Ovis aries: one gene and its partners. The protein of the gene in region 3 purifies or fractionates together with the protein of the main gene of each other region. This does not show direct contact. Links are inferred from orthologs where the notes say so. Each region holds a gene or a part of one and is shown on either strand. Other genes may lie near its edges.

Region 1 (4,213 bases), on a different chromosome or scaffold from region 3:
GCCTTCCAGCGGGGCAAATAGGCCCCAATCAGGAAGACCATGAGATCTGGAGCCTGCCCTCCACAAAGAAAAGATCTTGTATGCCGCAACTAAGATCTCAGGTGTACCAACACCCAACAGAACAAAAAATAAAAAATAAAAAAAAGAATAAACAAACATGGGGGACAATAAAGCTCTTCTGAGTAGAACATAAACTATAGAAAATATAGAAAGGAATGGAACTAGACAATCATGATTTTACAACCATCACAGTAAAAACTGATATAAGAAATAATCATCAATGGATAAGAAATTTAGCCAGTAAAACTATGACTAAGAATCGGCTATAAAGCTACATATCTATATCTATTAAAAATGGGGATTGAGGCAAAATGTAAACAAGTGCTATCAATAAATCTGCATAAAGGATATTTGGGGGTTTGGGGATAATATTCTTGCAACTTTTCTGTAGATTTTTTTTTGGGGGGGTCAAAAACAAAAGGATAGCTCAGTTGGTAAAAATCTGCCTGCAATGCAGGAGACCCCAGTTGGATTCCTGGGTTGGGAAGATCCCTTGGAGAAGGGAAAGGCTACCCATCCCAATATTCTGGCCTAGAGATTTCCATGGACAGTACAGTCCATGGGGTTACAAAGAGTGGGACACAACTGCGTGACTTTCACTTTCAAAGAAAACTAGCAGAAATAGTTGCTCAGTTCTGTTAAATTTGTACCTTTTCTCACGATCATAGGCTCAAGAATAAAGTAAGGTTAAAAATTCGAAAATGACACTTTATAGGGTTGGGAGAAGAAAGCATGAGTTTGAAACTTTCCATCCTTATCAGATCTGTGACCCTCAATAAGCAAGGAAACCTCCTTGTGTCTCAGTTTTTTCTTCTGCAAAATGGGGATTTTTTTTTCCATTGGTGCCTACTGGAAAGCTTGCTATGAACACTAAACGAGTCCTTATTTGTAAAGTGCCTGCCATATATTAAGCATATTTGCTAGCTATTTTTATTCCACAGACAGTGCTTAGAGTTATATAAACTCCAAGTAAACTCTTGGTCTTACTCGGGCGACTACACGTTTAAAATCCTTCAATACCTTTGTCTAAATCTTCACAAAGAGACAAAGTCTCACTAAAGGGTAGAGGGCCTCCACTGACCTCTTCAGGCCCGCTTGCTTCTCCCTTACTCCCTCAAGGTTCACCTCAAACACCGCTTCCCTACAGGAGCCCCTGAGGCCCCAGGACCAGAGCAGAGGCCTATCCCTCGCTTGGCATCCCACACTGGCCGCTCCTCAGAGCACTCCCTGGAACTGGCAACAGGCACTGGCCTCTCGCTCCAGGGCACTTTAAGTCCACAACCGCTGGGCTCGGGGTGGGTTTTCGCTCACACTGTGACCCGCGGTAGCGCGAAGAGGAGGCTCCAAATGCTGAAAGTGAATTTGGGGCCGAGGTGGCGGTCGTCGTGGGGGACGCAGGGCTTCGACAGGCGCTCCCTCAGGAGTGCGGCCGCGTCCCAGGGTCACCAGGCGCGGCCGGGCGGAGGGGGCGGGGCGGGCGGTAGGCGGCGGGCGGCCCCGCCCCTTCCCCCTCCCTTCCTCTTCCAGCCCCCTCCCGCCCCGCCGGCACCCCGTCAGGATCCCCTCGCTGGCTTCCTGGATAAGATGGCGGCCCCCGTGGGAGCGCAGGCCCGGAAACTTCTGAGAGACCTGGCGCTCCGGCCCCCGCTCCTGGCGGCCAGGTCCCAGGTGAGCGGACCCCTTGGTGGGGGCCTCGAGCAGCCGTTGGTCCCCTTCCGTCCCCTTCTGTCCTCCTCTTCCTGGTACCGGGTGCGCGGTCGCCGCGGCGCCACACCTGTGGAGAGGACGCGCGGTGCTGCGTCTGCGGCGCACGAGGGACCCCAGCACCCTCTGCTTCATGTGTGGAAAGGGGGTCTCGGGCTGAGGGGTTAATGACAGCCGGGACCACCTCAGAGTGAGAGCCACCCAACTCCCAGTTTTCGCTGCCGTGGATTCCCTCAGCATCGGGAGGGCGCCGGGCCCTGCACCAGGCGCTGCACAGGCAACTTCAGGAAAAGTTCCTGGAAATGGGGTTTGAGGTCCTGAGGTGTTATTGTGTTGCCAACACACACACACACACAAACACAACCAAAACACATGTTGCCAACACACACACACAACACCAAAACACAACCTAAAAGTTGAGAAATACTTTTTTTCTGAGGCATTTATTGAGGACTGTATCCTGAGGAAGTTTCTGGATAGCTCTGAGGAATTGTTGGAAAGAGGTAGGGGAGGAGCCAGGATGTACACGAGTTTTTGCTGGAAAACAAACAAAACACAAACCTTGTTGTGGAAGCTTAAAGGGTTAAGACTAATCACAAAATGTAGAAATGACAAGTTAGTGATTTTGATGCTTTTCTCCATATGGAAGCTGTAAGAGTCTGGGTATATTGAAATATTCCTTTGATATGCATCTTAACGTTATCTGCTGCTGCTGCTGCTAAGTCACTTCAGTCGTGTCCAACTCTGTGGGACCCCATAGATGGCAGCCGACTAGGCTCCTCCATCCCTGGGATTCTCTAGGCAAGAACACTGAAGTGGGTTGCCATTTCCTTCTCCAATGCATGAAAGTGAAAAGTGAAAGTGAAGTCGCTCAGTTGTGTGAAGTCGCGACCCCATGGACTGCAGCCTACCAGGCTCCTCCATCCATGGGATTTTCCAGGCAAGAGTACTGGAGTGGGGTGCCATTGCCTTCTCCAGTTCCCCTCAGGGTGCACTGTATGGGGCCATTGCAGTGGCTACTGATTTGATGGTAGGCAACATTACTGTTTACTATAATGGTGGGAAACATTTTTTTCTTGTCTTCAGTTACCTGTTCTGAGGTAGCTGCCTGTCCTCAGTCGCCAGTCCTGCTTTTGAACCCATTTGTTAGGCCATGTGATAAAGGTACCTAGAAACCCACCCCAGCCTTGCTGGTTTAGTAACTCACTTCCTGGAATGAGCTGCCTGCTCTTGCCGACTGGCAGGGTTGGGTATGGGTGTGGGGTGCTGAGATGGTGAAAGGAGGGGGTCAAGGAGAATGATGGGAAACGTCCTTCCTCAATTTAGTGAAAATTCAGTCCCATCATTGGAACACATTTGAGTATTGACCTTGTCCTCTTTCTCCTTGTTTCTAGAGAATAAAATCCTAGGAGGGCCAATGATGGACACTGAATAGCTATTAGAGCTTGGCCTTTAGGAGATTTTACTTTCTGTAGATGGCAAGAGTCATAGTAGCCAGAAGGCCTTTGGGGAGTTATGAGTTGGTGATGACTCTTGGAGAAATGACTCAAGTACTCAACTTTACATTCTCTGTTAGAAATATCTCTTCCCTTTTGAAGAAAACAATATGGGGCTTGACCACAGCACAGCCTTGTCCTTGTCCTTTTCCCCATTTTTAATTGATGAGAGACAATTAAAATGATGATCATTCCTGCAGTTTTATCTAGGATGTGCATAGTATTTTTTTTTTAATTGAACGATAGCTACTGATGAGTTTTGGAGTTACTCTAAACTTTGGTAAATTATGACATCTGAGTTATTCTTTTCTTCTTTTCTTTTCCTGACTTCTCATTTGTGTGTTTGTGTTAATGCAAATTTAAAAGGTGCTAATAACATTACTGTAATATATTTAACAGGCATTTGACAATATGATAGGATAGCAAAGGGAATGGTGGCTTTTGTCTAATTAAAATCACTAATAACTGTTGTAATAGAGTAAGGGGAATACCTCCAGGTGATCAAGTTCCATTCATTAAATGTTAGAAAAAAACCAAGAACTGTGGTGCTAACTATGAGAGTAGACTTGAATTGATGAGCAACATGAGGCCTAAGGCAATGAAAATTCAAGCAAAAGAAGTAATTGTATAGAAAAATCCAAGTGTTTAGCTGAAGTATGATAGGGCTTCTTGCCTTACCAAGAAATGGGAGCCTGAATACAACACTTTAGAAAATCTGGGTGGGGGATACCCTTGGTTTTGCAAGAAGACTGGGTAAAAGAATCTTCTGCCTCACTCTATCTGAAAACTTTGATTTACGTGCTTATAGATGAAGTGTTGTCCTGTGAACACAAACTTAGGAGATGAGAATTCTTTTTTTTTTTTTTTTAAGGCAAGAATAGTACACAGTGTTCAAGAACTGGAAATGGGCATTAGCAAGCATCTGATCCAAAAAACTCATTTCACAGGTCGAA
Region 2 (4,080 bases), about 3.7 Mb from region 3:
GAGAAACTATGCGCCTCGGATGACATGGAAATCTCGAAATACACGAGATTCATGTTATTTTATATACTTTCAGTAGCTCTTGTTCGAATAAAAAAGCTCACCAACAGGGCATGCGTTTCGGCACAACGTCGGACAGCAGTTGGGTCCTTAGGCAGGAAGTGGAAGCCATAGAGGCAGCCACTGAGTGAGCGTGATGGTTGTAGTTAAGGGTTTGGCGCCATCTTGAGAAGGTCAAAAATGATTCTTGGAATAAATATCTTACCACCTAGTCTGACCTGGCGCGTGAGTCAGTCTCCCCAGCAACTGAGCCTCAAACGCGCAAAAAAGTCTTAAGTCCTCAGGGAAGGATCGATTGCACCATTCATGAGAATAACTCATTTCCCAGAGATTCCTTCTCTTTATCTAATGCCTGGCGCCTAGCACTTAAATACACGTGAGTTTTGATTTTATAGGATCATATTCTGCAAACCAGTATCAATAAATTACATTAATAAATATTTACTTAGAATCTCTTCATTGCTATATCTTGTGATTTAATCTGTGCCAGTTTGCTTTTTAATAGAGACATAAACATATACAATTTTTAAAATCAGAGCAAAGTATTCTTTCCTTTAGTTAAGCTTCTCACTTTAGTGGTAGAAAAGCCTTGGTGGGTCTATTTATTGCCTTGCTCCCTCAGTAGCAAGCTTAATTGTGTCGTCTTGGGTTGTTTTCCCAAAGCACCCTGACAAAAAGTAGATACTCAACACAAGATTTGCTCAATGGATGAAGAACTGTCCTTGAATTAGTACAAAAAAGATCGAGGTTTACAATGACACTATGTTTCACTTAGCAGCACACAGCCAGTTAGGAGCAGAAATGGGATTCTAACTCAGGACTGTTCAAGTCAGAATCCCAACTGGGCCCCTCTGGGCAACCTAGGGCAAGTTACTAAACCGTTCTGATCCTCAAATTCCTAAGCTGCAAAATAGAGCCAAGAAGGGTGGACTGGTTGAGCCTCTGCGCCGAAATAGGCGGTGGGGCTTTGTCAACGCAAAGCTGGGTCCTGATTTCCTGCTCAAGGATCCTCAAGATTCAGAACCCAGCTCGGTGGACCAGCCCTCGAACGATTTCAAACCTTTAGGCTCCGCGCCGCGGGAACAAAACGGGGACACGTGAACGCAGCGGGAGGGCGCAGGCGCAAGGTCGCCGGTACTTTAGAGGGTGCGCGCTCCCAGCAGGGAGCCGACTCGCGCACGCGCCCCTCCCCTCGGCCGCGCGCTCCACCTGCGCAGGCGCAAGCCCTCAAGATGGCGGCGGCTGGAGCGGGCCGTCTGAGGCGGGCGGCGTCGGCCCTGTTGCTCCGGCCCCCGCGCCTGCCCGCCCGGGAGCTCTCAGCTCCCGCTCGGCTCTATCACAAGAAGGTAAGAGCGGCCCGGGGGTCCGCACCGGGCGGGGGGGCGGGCGGGAGTGCGAGGACCCCCCAGAGGACTTAGGGGTCCTAGCGGAAGCCCAGCCTAGTGGCCCTCCCCGCTCTGCGCGGCCCTGGAACCCCGACTGCAGCCCAGGGCCCTGGCCGCCCCCAGCCCTGGATGGAGGGGCCTTCCTCTCAAGAGGCCGCCTCGAATGGCTTTCCCTCGCTGCGCTGGGGCGACTAACCGCGCCTGAAACAGGAATGACAGCTCCCGCTAGCCTAGCGGCAGCTGCCCTCAATCTGAAACATCCATCCGGCCTTTAAGCCTCTCGGCTGCCCAGGAAGCAGGGTCCTGCTCTGTCCGGGCTAGCCGGACACACAGCGGCCGAGTGACCTTGGGCGAGTCACTGCCCCGCGCTCGTCAGATGGGGTCTGGGCAGCGCCCCCGGACGCGAGTGCATTGCCTGCGGAGTCCTGGGCAGGGCGCTTGGCACAGGGAGGCCGCTGAGGGTCGGTGTTACTGTTGCAGGAGCTCAGAGCCTCCGAGTGGACATGGACGTGTAACCAACAGTCGTCACGTTTTTGTGTTTGTTTTGGTTTGGTTTGGGGGTGGTGGGATGCTGTGAGTTAAGACAGGTTGGGTAGTTGGCAGCCACATGAGACGTGTCTCGCTTGGGAACCGGTTAAGTAAAAAAAGTGCGATAAATCAACCCCGGGGCAGAAAGTCGAAACTGGATATTATCTTACAGATCCTTGGACTTGGAAGTCAAAATCCGTGGTCGGATAGGTCGGGGGAAGGGGACTGGAAGTTCGGAATACTTAACGACTAACTGGGAAACAAACCGCAAGGTTTTTAAAGCCTCGCATGTGCCAGTTTGAATAGATGTCTACTCTGTTCTGGCTTCCACGCGTTTGCGCACAGACCTCACTCCCCGCGGACCCAGGGCTGTATATTGTTGACAGTACACGCGGAATGACCTGGCGCGCGCAGCCTTTCCGCCACCAGAGCGCGCTGCGGCACCGCAGATTTCAGGGCCCCGAAATACAGTCATGGTGGTTATTTATCACCACACACAAATGGCTGTATTCCATAGCCTTGTTCCTCCCGTAACAATCTCCATGAGGCTTCTGGGACCATACAGACGTGTAGGTTTTTGCATAGTAATCATTCTTTTGAGAATGGATTTTCTTCCGAAATTACACAGGTGCTGTTTGAGCCCAACTCTGTGACTTGGGTGGTTAGAGGTCAAGTAATTAGTTGTGGTTCAAAACCCCACAGAATTAAGACATGATTTTGCTGATTTTTCTCCAGGATCCCCATATCTCTTAAATCCTGCCCAAGTGAAATTTGGTATTTAGTGATGGCCTGCCAGGTCCAGCTTGCTGACTTGAAGGAGCTTGCCATCAAAGTCGGGGAGATGAACAGCAAAAAAGAGTGACTGTGATTTCTCTTCACTCTCATTTCAGGTTGTGGATCATTATGAAAATCCCCGAAACGTGGGGTCCCTTGACAAGACATCTAAAAATGTTGGGACTGGATTGGTGGGGGCTCCAGCGTGTGGTGATGTCATGAAATTACAGGTACCCCTGGTTTCCATCTTTACTGGTGGTAACGGTGACCCCTTTGCTTGAACGGTGTTCTGTAGTTGACAGAGCATTTACATGTCCAGCATTTCCTCTGGTCCCCATCTTGATTCCTGTGAGGTGGGAGAAGTCAGTGTTACAAATGATTCCAGCAGGGGCTGAATCCTAGTCCTCCTGGTAAACTGTGCTGACCCCTTCTGACAAAATAAACAGATCTCACGTTCATACTCACTGTATCAGTTAGCTATCCCCAGAGGGACGGGAAATGCCACAAATCAAACTCTGCCTGCCCCGGTGGAAGCGCCCGGCACTCTGGTAAACCATAGCTTTCTCCACATCTCCTTCGTCACTGTGGTGGGAAGCTGGCCAGGCGGCTTCATGCGTATCTTGGAGAACAGAAGCAAGGCAGGGAGGAACACACTGCATGCAGTTTGACGTCAAAGGGGAAAGCACCAGCCAGTGACCTTCACTGCCAGCTCTGGCAGTGCTTAAAGGCACACACTGACCCAGCAGCTGGGAAGCCAAAAGTCAGGCTTGGGAGTGGGAGGAGACTGGGCAGGAGGCACACTTTGTGGCTGATCTTTGCCAGCGAGGCCTGTATAATTCTGTATAGTTGTTCCTGCTTGCAACTTTTCATTGCTGAACTCTTTGAAACAGAGGGGCCTCAATAATCAACGCCCAAACTTTTAAGTATGGAAAGCAGGAACAAAACTCTTAGGAAATGCCCTGCGGGCCTCCCTAAGTGCCGGGCTCTGCAGGCAGTGCCAGAACCCTGCTAACTCCTGCCTCTTTTCCAGATTCAAGTGGATGAACAGGGGAGGATCGTGGACGCCAGGTTTAAAACATTCGGCTGTGGCTCTGCCATCGCCTCCAGCTCATTAGCCACCGAATGGGTCAAGGGGAAGACGGTAAGGCTCTTGAAAACTGGAATTAAGTCATATCCCCACACACCTGCCTCTTGGTTAAGGGAAGGTTTTAAACAAACACACACTATAATTTTTTTCTAAATATTCCAAGGATTTTCTTTCTTAATTTTGCTTACCCAGACTTTTATCAAACTCTTCTCCACATTGGGAATTATGGATAGTCTTAAGTGTTTTTTT
Region 3 (4,186 bases):
GAGGTGTGACCTCCTGTGTCTTTGGAGCAAAACTTGTCCGCCCTGAAAAGTGGCAAAAGACAGTGTGTCAAGAGGTAGCTGCTATCATCACACCTGATAAGAAGGGTCCACCACACCAGGACTACATGGGCCTCCCCCAGGTACAGTGGAGAGCTTATAAGCAAACACATTTGGAGTCAGCTAAGTCAGTTCTTCGCATGACCTTTAGGTAGATCACAACCACTCTGAACCCAAAAAGTAGACGGAAAATCAAATGAGATGCTGCAGCAACGTTCTTTCAACCTCACCCCCTCAGTAAAGCTTTATAATCGGACTCTCAGGCCCAAAGAATCTGAAAGCAGGGAAAGGCCTTACAAGTGCAACACAATTTATTTTTCCTCAAATAGAGAAACTGAGTCCCAAGGAAAACTGGTGGCCCCCCTCCCCTCCCTTTGCCACCCAATCCCCCACACTTCCTTACGGACACTCTCGAAGCATCTTCTTACACAAGTCAGTGTGCTGCTGCCAGTTCCAGCAGAGCCTATTGAGAATGGGTTCTCAATAGGCATTTTTCAGATTGAACCAAACTAGGATAATAATTGGGCTTCCCTGGTGGCTCAGACGGTAAAGCGTCTGCCTGCAATGCGGGAGACCCGGGTTCGATTCCTGGGTCGGGAAGATCCCCTGGAGAAAGATATGGCAATCCACTCCAGCACTCTTGCCTGGAAAATCCCATGGACGGAGGAGCCTGATAGGCTACAGTTCATGGGGTCGCAAAGAGTCGGACACGACTGAGCGACTTCACTTTCACTTTCATGAAAATAATTACTAACACCTTTAAAACAATCTGCAGAGCAGCTTGGCTCTGATTCTGAAGAGCACAACTTGGTTCTTTCTTATCCCGTACTTCTGGGCCAGTTTCTGCTTGTAAATAACAAGGGAAGTGAAATTCACCTCGAGGTTTGTCTACAAAGGAGGAAGAGAGTCGCCCACGCATTCCTCTCCCTCGCGCCTTCCCGAGCTCATACACAGGACAAGATGAAGGCTCGGGAGATTCAGCTCGCAATAACACCCTGAGGACAGGATTCGAACCCCTAAATACCCAAAAGAAGCTCCCCACTATGACTCACCGCGTGAGCCCCTCTGGAAGAGTACAACCCAGAGCAGCCGCAGCCAGCGGAGTGGCGCTAAACCCGCAGATACAAACTCCACCCTCCACCAATCAAAACACCCCTCCGCTCCCGCTGGACCAATGAGAAGCAGCGGATGTGGCTGCCCGCAGCTTCAATGCTTTCTGGGAGTTGTAGTTTAAGCTGCAGAGTGAGACTCAGAACCCAGGTTTCCCCCGGGTCGTCCCGCCCCCCGCCCAGTTCCCCAGCCAATCACTAGCACGAGTGTGGTCAGTCTCAGGTGACCTCGGCGAGGCAGGCTGCCGGCCCGATGTGGGCCGGAAGGACCGGGACCTTGCTCCGGCTGTCGGGGTGGTGGCCGACAGGGGTGCTCGGGAGAAGACTGCTAAACTGCAATGCTGCGTCCCTGGCAGGAAGCAGCTCCCCACGATGTTGGAACTGTGGCGGCGCAGGGGGCCCACCGCGGGGGGACCGGTTCTTCTGCCCTCAGTGCCGCGCGCTGCAGCCACCTGACCCGACTCGAGATTACTTCAGCCTCATGGACTGGTATGGAGGCCGTTTCCTGAAACGCGTCTGGACGTGCGAGAGTGGAGGGCGGGTCAGGCTAGGGGAGGAGGAAGGCTGGACCAGTCACACTGGTTGGCGGAGCCCTGGAGGACCGGACTGGGGGTGGAGCCTGGTCGAGAAGGGTGCGTGGGATGTGGCTGGGGAGGAAATTAAGGGGCTGGCCTGAGCGAGGACGCTTTAAGGGGGTGAAGACGAGAGTGAGTCTTGGAGTAGATAGGCGGGGAGTGGTTAGGGGAAACTGAAGTTTGAAGGCAGCCATGGAGGGGCGGGTTCTGAGAGAAGGCCAAGTTGAGAGGCGGGGCTTTGAGGGGAAGGTACTTGCGCGGCCCTAGGGCTTCCCTGGGGCTTCCCTGGGGCTTCCCTGGGGCTTCCCTGGGGCTTCCCTGGTGGCTCAAAGGGTAAAGCGTCTGCCTGCAATGCAGGAGACCTGGGTTCGATCCCTGGGTCAGGAAGATCCCCTGGAAAAGGAAATGGCAACCCACTCCAGTATTCTTGCCTGGAGAATCCCATGGACAGAGGAGCCTGGTGGGCTACAGTCCACAGGGTCGCAAAGAGTCGGACACGACTGAGCGAGTTCACTTCACTTCATTTCACTTCAGGGCTTCCCTGATAGCGATAGCTCAGGGTAAAGAATCTGCCTGCAATTCAGGAGACTCCGGTTCGATTCCTGGGTCGAAAAGATCTGCTGGAGATGGGATAAGCTACCCACTCCGGTATACTTGGGTTTCCCTGGTGGCTCAGCTGGTAAAGAATCCGCCTACAATACAGGAGACCTAGGTTCTACCCCTGGTTTAGGAAGATCCGTTAATTACAGGCTTCCCTTGTGGCTCAGCTAGTAAAGAATCTTCCTGCAATGCGGGAGACCTGAGTTGGATCCCTGGGCTAGGAAGATCCCCTGGGGAAGGGAAAAGCTACTCACTCCAGTATTCTGGCCTAGAGAATGCCATAGACTGTGTAGTCCATGGGGTCGAAATAGTTGGACACGACTGAGCGACTTTCTGGAGAAGGCAATGGCACCCCACCCCACTCCAGCACTCTTGCCTGGAAAATCCCATGGACGGAGGAGCCTGGTGGGCTGCAGTCCTTGGGGTCGCTAAGAGTCGGACACGACTGAGCGACTTCACTTTTCATGCATTGGAGAAAGCAATGGCAGCCCAATCCAGTGTTCTTGCCTGGAGAATCCCAAGGAAGGGGGAGCCTGGTGGGCTGCCGTCCTATGGAGTCGCACAGAGTCGGACACGAATGTAGAGACTTAGCAGCAGCAGCAGCAGAGCACCTTTCACTTTCACTTTGGAGCATAGAAGCTTGACGTTCAGAATGTTTAAAGTTGGCTTGAGATTTTTAAGAAAGAAGTACAGAAGTGGTATCCAAAATACGAGAGTAAGAGCATGGAAAAACTTAAGGCTGTGGGCAGAATCTAAGGGAAAAGTGAGAACTGGAGGGTCTGAGAAATAAGTGTTTTTCCTGTTTACCGTGGAAAGTCGAGAAGTTTGGAGAGGTGACAAATTTGGTCGAAGCTAAAGAGATAGTGCAGGCTCTGGGAATAAAAAGCGAAGGGGATTCATTTAAAATAAAGTAAGAGGCAGAAATGAAGGGACCTGGGCCTTAGAAAAATAGAGTGTGATTCTGGAATGCCCCTTAACTCTGGGCTCTGGCCCCACCAGTCACTGAGCACGTATGAAGGGTCGCAGTAACACTACCCTGTAAGTTGTTCAAGCATGCCAGTCTTGTTCTAACTTCAAGGTCTCTGTGTGTTCCCTGTGCCTGAATGTGTCTTTCCTCTGATCTCTGATTAATCCTCATCATCATTTAGGTCTCAGCTCAAATGTCATCTCTTTGTCCACTACATCTACCATTCTCTGACCCTATTCTGTTTTCCTTTACAGTACCTACCACTTTCTGGAATAGCTCTTGTCTACATGTTTGTTGTGTCCCCACTAAAAAGAGGAACCAGGCCCATGGTATACAGATCTATAAATATCTGATGCATGAGTTTCATCTCCTGATTTCCTTCCAGCAACCGCTCCTTCAGAGTTGACACTGTGAAGCTCCAGCATAGATACCAGCAACTACAGCGCCTTGTCCACCCAGATTTCTTCAGCCAGAGGTCTCAGGTAAGCCTATTGGCCATCCCTAATCATTCCCTGGATGAGGAAGCTCCCCTCTAGGAGGTCATGGCAACCCACTCCAGTATTCTTCCCTGGAAAATCCCAGGGACAGAGGAGCCTGGTGAGCAACAGTCCATAGGGGCGTGAAGAGTTGGACATGACTGAAGCGACTTTGCACAACAGACATAGCACAATCATACCCAAACACATATGCACCCTGGGTGCAGTGGCCTGTATTTATGAGATTACCGATTACCAGGGACAAAACTGGACAACCAGCTTTGCCCTGGGGCAGCCTGATTACAACCAACCAGGCCCTGGATCAGTCCCACACTCAGAGCTTTTACCTTACTTCCTAGCAGAATTAAAACCCATCGTCTGAAAATTAAAACAGCTTATCCC
Region 4 (2,456 bases), on a different chromosome or scaffold from region 3:
CCCGCCCACGGGCCGGACCACAGCTGCTGGCCGACTCTGACGTGGGCTGTGCCAGGAGAGCTGAGCTGGGCCACGAGCCTCCCTCCAGGGAACGCAAGCCGAGAAATGAGGAGCCAGGCAGCTGCTGAGGCTGCGGCAGGGCGAGCCCAGGAGCAGGAGCAGAGAGAGGGAGTGAAAGCTAAGCGGAGCTCCGAGGCCGCGGACAGACACACGGAGCGCGGGCCTGCTGCGGGGGAGTGCGGCGGGCGCAGCCCTCGGGCCAGCGGGACCGCAGCCCGCACGGCCGCCTGTGCTCGGATGCTTCCGTCCCGTGTTCCTGCAGCCAGAGCGAGCCCAGCGGATCCGAGGGCAGGAACCCGCGTCGGAGCCCACGGGACCAGCCTCGCGCCCACACCCCCGGGCCCACGCTGAGGCGGCCGCGCGCTCTGCCCCCGGGCCCACGTGGCGGGTACCTTGGGGCAGGTCCGCGTGCAGTTCATGATGGTGTGGCAGCGGTAGAGAGAGAAGGGGTCCTGCAGCTTGGCCAGGCGCTCCTCCGTGAAGTCGTCTCTGGAGTCGATCATCCAGCGATAGGCCTGGGGGAGCGGGCCCTGGTGAGCCGAGCCGAGCCCTAACTGGCCGCAGCAGCCCTCTGACTGACCGCAAGGCTCCTGGGGTGCAGAGCGCCGCGCCCACCCAGCTTAGAGATCGTCTCCACACCCTTTATTTCTTGTCCCCTTTCAGAGAAAGGCTTCCCACCCTTTCATAACATCTTCCGATCACCTCGACCAATGGTCCCCACGAACCTCTGAGCCACAGCACCTGGTCCCTGGTGCCTAATTATACACCAAGGGCGTCGTGTCTTCAACTACTGATCTCACGCCCTCATTAGCCTCCTCCCTAGATCACCAAAGAGCAAAGGCAGGCATGCTGGGCTTGACTCTCTCTTAACTGCCTCCCCAGCACCTACTCACCGTCTCTGAGTAAACAGAGGACTTAACGTTCAATCTACTTATTGATTCTCTTAATGAGCATGGCCATCTAGGAAGCCTGAGCTCAGCCAGCTGAACACGGACTCAGCTCCTGAGCAGCAGGCTTGCTCCAGCAGTGTGGCCGGGAGGCCCTCTACGCTTCCCAACAACGCAGACGCCGGTGTAAGTGCCAACTATGAACACACCTCACTATTCAGTCTTTAACTTGGCCAACATCAGTACTGCTAACTGGTCGCAGAACCACAGAACTTCTCTTTTTGTGGGAAAATGAAAACAAGAAGTTGTTTTTTGAGTTGCTTAAGGCTTTATGAAAAGCGCTGACCACAAATATAAGTATGAGCTTTCTGGGAACAAAGACAGTGACTCTCGGCTGTGAACTACACACCCAGTCAGAGGCTATGGAAAGCAGCACGCCTTTCTTTCTAAGCAACCTCTCAAGCCTGCACTGCAGGCTTTCATTAGCCGGGAAACAATCTCCAACATTTCACCGTTAACTGCCCCTCAGTGAAATTTTTCTCTGCCCTGCCTGCATGTTGAAAATCCCTGGAAGGGAGGTGGGGAGCTTTCTGACAGATGGAGTCAGGGAAAGCGGGCAAGTGGGCAGCGAAGAGCCAGCTACACAGGAAAATGTCTTGAACATCCGCACGGCACGGCCTGCCAACCTGCAGCCACCAGCCCCTGGTGTGGCCCTTGCCACACTAAACGGAGGCGTTCTGCAGATGGAGCCCCAAGACTTCCCGAAGCCAAGTGAAGGCGATGTGACCCATTACCCCGTTTGTCGCGGGTGCCAGGGAAGGACACCACCCCTCAGAACAGCGAGTTTCCAGCACACTGTCCTCCTGGAGTCCTGCAAGCCCGTCTCGGCTTCCCTCCCGATATCGAAGGCGCCTCACCTGCATGAGGACCGCGGGGCCCAGGTACTTGTCTCCGTTCCACCAGTAGCTTGGGCAGCTGGTGCTGCAGCAGGCGCAGAGAATGCACTCATAGAGCCCATCCTGTGGGGGGGGAAAGGGGGTCAGGAGCCCATCGCGCAGGAGGCAGCTGTGCCCTGAGCTGACCCAGCGTAACGTGTGGGACAAAGCGCACTAAGCTTTGCTGCGTTTCTGGCGAAATCCCAGCAGTGGCTGCAGAGATTCACCAGGTTCATAAAAAGATCTTGGAACTGATCTTCAGACATGTGCTGGGTCAGAGCCCAAAGTTCTTAAGTCCAGACGTACTTATCCTTTAACAAATAACCCCTTGCTGCTGCTAAGTCACTTCAGTCGTGTTCGACTCCTCACGACCCCATGGACGGCAGCCTACCAGGCTCCTCCACCCATGAGATTTTCCAGGCAAGAGTACTGGAGTGGATTGCCATTGCCTTCTCCAAAATAACCCCTTACTTATCTTAAAAAAAAAAAAAAAAAAAAACCCACACACATGAAAAGAACTTACCACCTCAAATGCAGTCTAGCAGAAATTAAAAAGCCCCCAAGTGCTGAGGCA
Region 5 (2,839 bases), on a different chromosome or scaffold from region 3:
AGACTCTTGAGAGTCCCTTGGATTGCAAGGAAATCAAACCAGTCAATCCTAAAGGAAATCAGTCCTGAATATTCATTGGAAGGACTGATGCTGAAGCTGAAACTCCAATACTTTGGCCACCTGATGCGAACAACTGACTCATTAGAAAAAACCCTGATGCTGGGAAAGATTGAAGGCAGGAGGAGACGGGGAGGACAGAGGATGAGATGGTTGAATAGCATCACCTACTCGATGGACATGAGTTTGAGCAAGCTCTGGGAGTTGGTGAGGGACAGGGAAGCCTGGCGTCCATGAGGTGAGAGGAGACGACTGAGCAACTGAACTGAACTGAACTGATCGACTCCCAGACTCAGGCCCTCTCCTCAGCCCCTGACTAGCCTAGCCTCCTGCGGAAGAACCCATGACCAGATGTGCGGGGGCGTGGTCGCACGCTGGGCGGAGGGGTCCCGGGTTATCGTTGCCTGGTTCCCCACGCTCCGGGTGCCGGTAGGTGCTGGTAGGTGCTGGTAGGGTGCTGAGCGGGTCGTGGCCTTGCGGGCCTCCCAGCGCTACGAGGACGCCTCCGAATAGCCTGCGGGAACTATAACGGAATTGCAGCTGACTACCTGATACTGCCTGCAGGTCTGCGGAGTGCCAACATAGTCGAAGAGTTCCTTGTGGGCTGGACTCCGCTTCAACAGCTAGGGAGGCCCCTCCCTCTCCTACCCTCAGATCCGACTCACGTCGGCAGAGAGCGCTACCGGCCCAAACAGGCTGCGTTTGGGGGCTTATAGCCCACGGTATATTCTCAGCACCGAGAGGCTTGTTCTGCCGGCTGTGACCCAACACTTTACCGGGTATTCCTCTCCCCAGGGGTTGGGGCCTTCGATGTACACTTGCTCTGGGAGTGGGGACTCACGGAGCTTCCTATGGTTGCTTTAATAAATGAGGATAAACCCACGTGTGTGCCCGTCTTCTCTCTCCCCGTGCCCCCAGCGCTCTGGGGAACACAAGGACCCTAACCTCTAGCTCTCTCCACTCGCAGGACCCAAGAGTCAGGTCAGGATCCCCTGGTCTCTTCCGACCCCAAACCTAAGAGTCTCAGCGTCTAGCGTCCTCCTCCTCCAGGCCCTCAGGAGTACCGTCCTCTCAAGGACACTGATGTCCAGTGGGGCGGGCCAGTGAACCATTAGCTCCGCCCCTTACTCACAACATTGTGACGTAGCAGCAGCGACGACCTATGAGGCGCGACGGCGCCGCAAAGCTGGGAGCGGGAGGCGGAAGTGCCTGTGGCGGTGTTTCACCGCTTCTGCCGCCTGTTCCCGTGCGCCGCTCCGTGCCCCGCGGCCCAGCTGCTGCCATGAGCCGGCACAGCCGGTTGCAGAGGCAAGTTCTGAGCCTGTACCGCGAGCTGTTGCGCGCCGGGCGCGGGAAGCCGGGCGCCGAGGCACGGGTGCGGGCTGAATTCCGGCAGCACGCCTGCCTGCCACGCTCAGACGTACTTCGCATTGAGTACCTGTACCGCCGCGGTCGGCGCCAGCTCCAGATGCTACGCTCGGGCCACGCCACGGCCATGGGTGCCTTCGTCCGTACGCAGGACCCGACCGAGGAGTCCAACGGCGCGGGGGCCCCAGGGACCCTGTCCAATGAAGGTGACGACCGGAGGAGACCGCTAGACAGCATAAGGACACCGAAGACCCCGCTGGATGGACGGTGACCGGCTGAAGGGCTCTGCCGATGGCTCAGGGGGACTGGAGGACCGGGGGAGCCCCCCGATGGAAAGTGAGAGGTCTTGAGAAACTAGATCGACAGATTGAGGTAGTTGAAGAGCTCTCCTGGGACGTGGGGTGCGATGGCGAGAAATGCCCGGCTTTACTTGCTGTATGGTACCGGGTCAGACTTAACCAATGAGGCTTGGGGCGGGCTGTCAAACTAAAAGCTGCTTACCCTAAGGCCTGGGGAGCCAAGACGCCCCGCTGTTGGACGGAAAGAGACTTGACACGCCCTTGTCTAGAACCCTGAGAAATACCACTGGCGGCTCCTCAAAGAGACTCCTCTCTCCTGTACTTAACTCTGAGAAGAGCAGATGAGGAGGAGTTTGGGACGATGCCCTGATGGACTGGTGAGAAGCCTGGAAACCCCCTCAGAAAAATCTTTACTCCACTGAGACCAACTGGGATTGGTGAGGAAGGGGGTAAGGGGTTTCTCACCCCGCTAATCAGTTAAAGACCGCCTTAAGACCTCTGCATGATGGTTCTGAGGGTGAAACCTCCCCCTCTCCACCCCGATTCCTGCCCCTTTCCCTGCTCAGGACTGTTGGACAAAAAGGCAATAAAATGGGGGTGTGCTTACTTCCCTGTTGGTGGTGGTAAAGATTTGATGTGTTTGGGGGATTTTGGGGGTTATCAAGAAGTGACCCTCTGGCAAGGGATGGGTGTGGGGAACCCTCTAGAATGGCAGATTGGTTGGAGCAGCATAGTTCTTTCTCCTGGGCAGATCCATGGAGGGAAGCCACCCTGGTTTGACCCCCAAGGAAGCCCCTGTTGACCCCTTAATGGGGGGTAGTGAGGCGGAAGAGGAATGGTGGGGCTGAGGAGGCCTGGCTGGTAATCCCTGCAGTAGTAGTGGGACCCTCAAACCTTGCTAAGGAGTCCAGCCTCAGCTACAAGCTGGAACTGTTAGCAAGGCCTAGGGGTGGGAAAGGAGAGGTGGACCCATAGGCCACAGACATAGCTCTTCGCATGCCCCCACAGGGACGTGCCCTAGACATTCCCTGAGGTGCTGCGTTTTGTAGCCCTCAGCTGTATTTGCACCCATTAAAAGCAGTTGAGAGGAGGAGGACCTCAGGAAAGGAACTCAG

Evidence for each region.
Region 1: the proteins of HSCB (region 3) and SUCLG2 purify together in Homo sapiens (affinity purification with mass spectrometry; 3 studies listed by BioGRID and IntAct, with this or other methods). This does not show direct contact. The link is inferred for Ovis aries from reciprocal best matches to the Homo sapiens genes HSCB and SUCLG2.
Region 2: the proteins of HSCB (region 3) and ISCU purify together in Homo sapiens (affinity purification with western blotting; 3 studies listed by BioGRID and IntAct, with this or other methods). This does not show direct contact. The link is inferred for Ovis aries from reciprocal best matches to the Homo sapiens genes HSCB and ISCU.
Region 4: the proteins of HSCB (region 3) and SDHB purify together in Homo sapiens (co-immunoprecipitation; 3 studies listed by BioGRID and IntAct, with this or other methods). This does not show direct contact. The link is inferred for Ovis aries from reciprocal best matches to the Homo sapiens genes HSCB and SDHB.
Region 5: the proteins of HSCB (region 3) and SDHAF1 purify together in Homo sapiens (co-immunoprecipitation; 3 studies listed by BioGRID and IntAct, with this or other methods). This does not show direct contact. The link is inferred for Ovis aries from reciprocal best matches to the Homo sapiens genes HSCB and SDHAF1.

The regions. Positions count from the first base shown.
Region 1 is NC_056072.1:33,943,493-33,947,705, forward strand, and holds the start of SUCLG2 (succinate--CoA ligase [GDP-forming] subunit beta, mitochondrial), read left to right. Parts: upstream 1-1,407; coding exon 1,408-1,728; intron 1,729-1,736; exon of another isoform or gene 1,737-4,213. UniProt on the Homo sapiens protein: GTP-specific succinyl-CoA synthetase functions in the citric acid cycle (TCA), coupling the hydrolysis of succinyl-CoA to the synthesis of GTP and thus represents the only step of substrate-level phosphorylation in the TCA.
Region 2 is NC_056070.1:64,528,493-64,532,572, reverse strand, and holds the start of ISCU (iron-sulfur cluster assembly enzyme ISCU), read left to right. Parts: upstream 1-1,278; 5' UTR 1,279-1,289; coding exon 1,290-1,403; intron 1,404-2,860; coding exon 2,861-2,974; intron 2,975-3,774; coding exon 3,775-3,885; intron 3,886-4,080.
Region 3 is NC_056070.1:68,186,125-68,190,310, forward strand, and holds the start of HSCB (iron-sulfur cluster co-chaperone protein HscB), read left to right. Parts: upstream 1-1,381; 5' UTR 1,382-1,419; coding exon 1,420-1,655; intron 1,656-3,693; coding exon 3,694-3,790; intron 3,791-4,186.
Region 4 is NC_056055.1:249,242,719-249,245,174, reverse strand, and holds part of SDHB (succinate dehydrogenase [ubiquinone] iron-sulfur subunit, mitochondrial), read right to left. Parts: intron 1,967-2,456; coding exon 1,865-1,966; intron 576-1,864; coding exon 453-575; intron 1-452. UniProt on the Homo sapiens protein: Iron-sulfur protein (IP) subunit of the succinate dehydrogenase complex (mitochondrial respiratory chain complex II), responsible for transferring electrons from succinate to ubiquinone (coenzyme Q).
Region 5 is NC_056067.1:45,972,966-45,975,804, forward strand, and holds SDHAF1 (succinate dehydrogenase assembly factor 1, mitochondrial), read left to right. Parts: upstream 1-1,245; 5' UTR 1,246-1,339; coding exon 1,340-1,696; 3' UTR 1,697-2,330; downstream 2,331-2,839.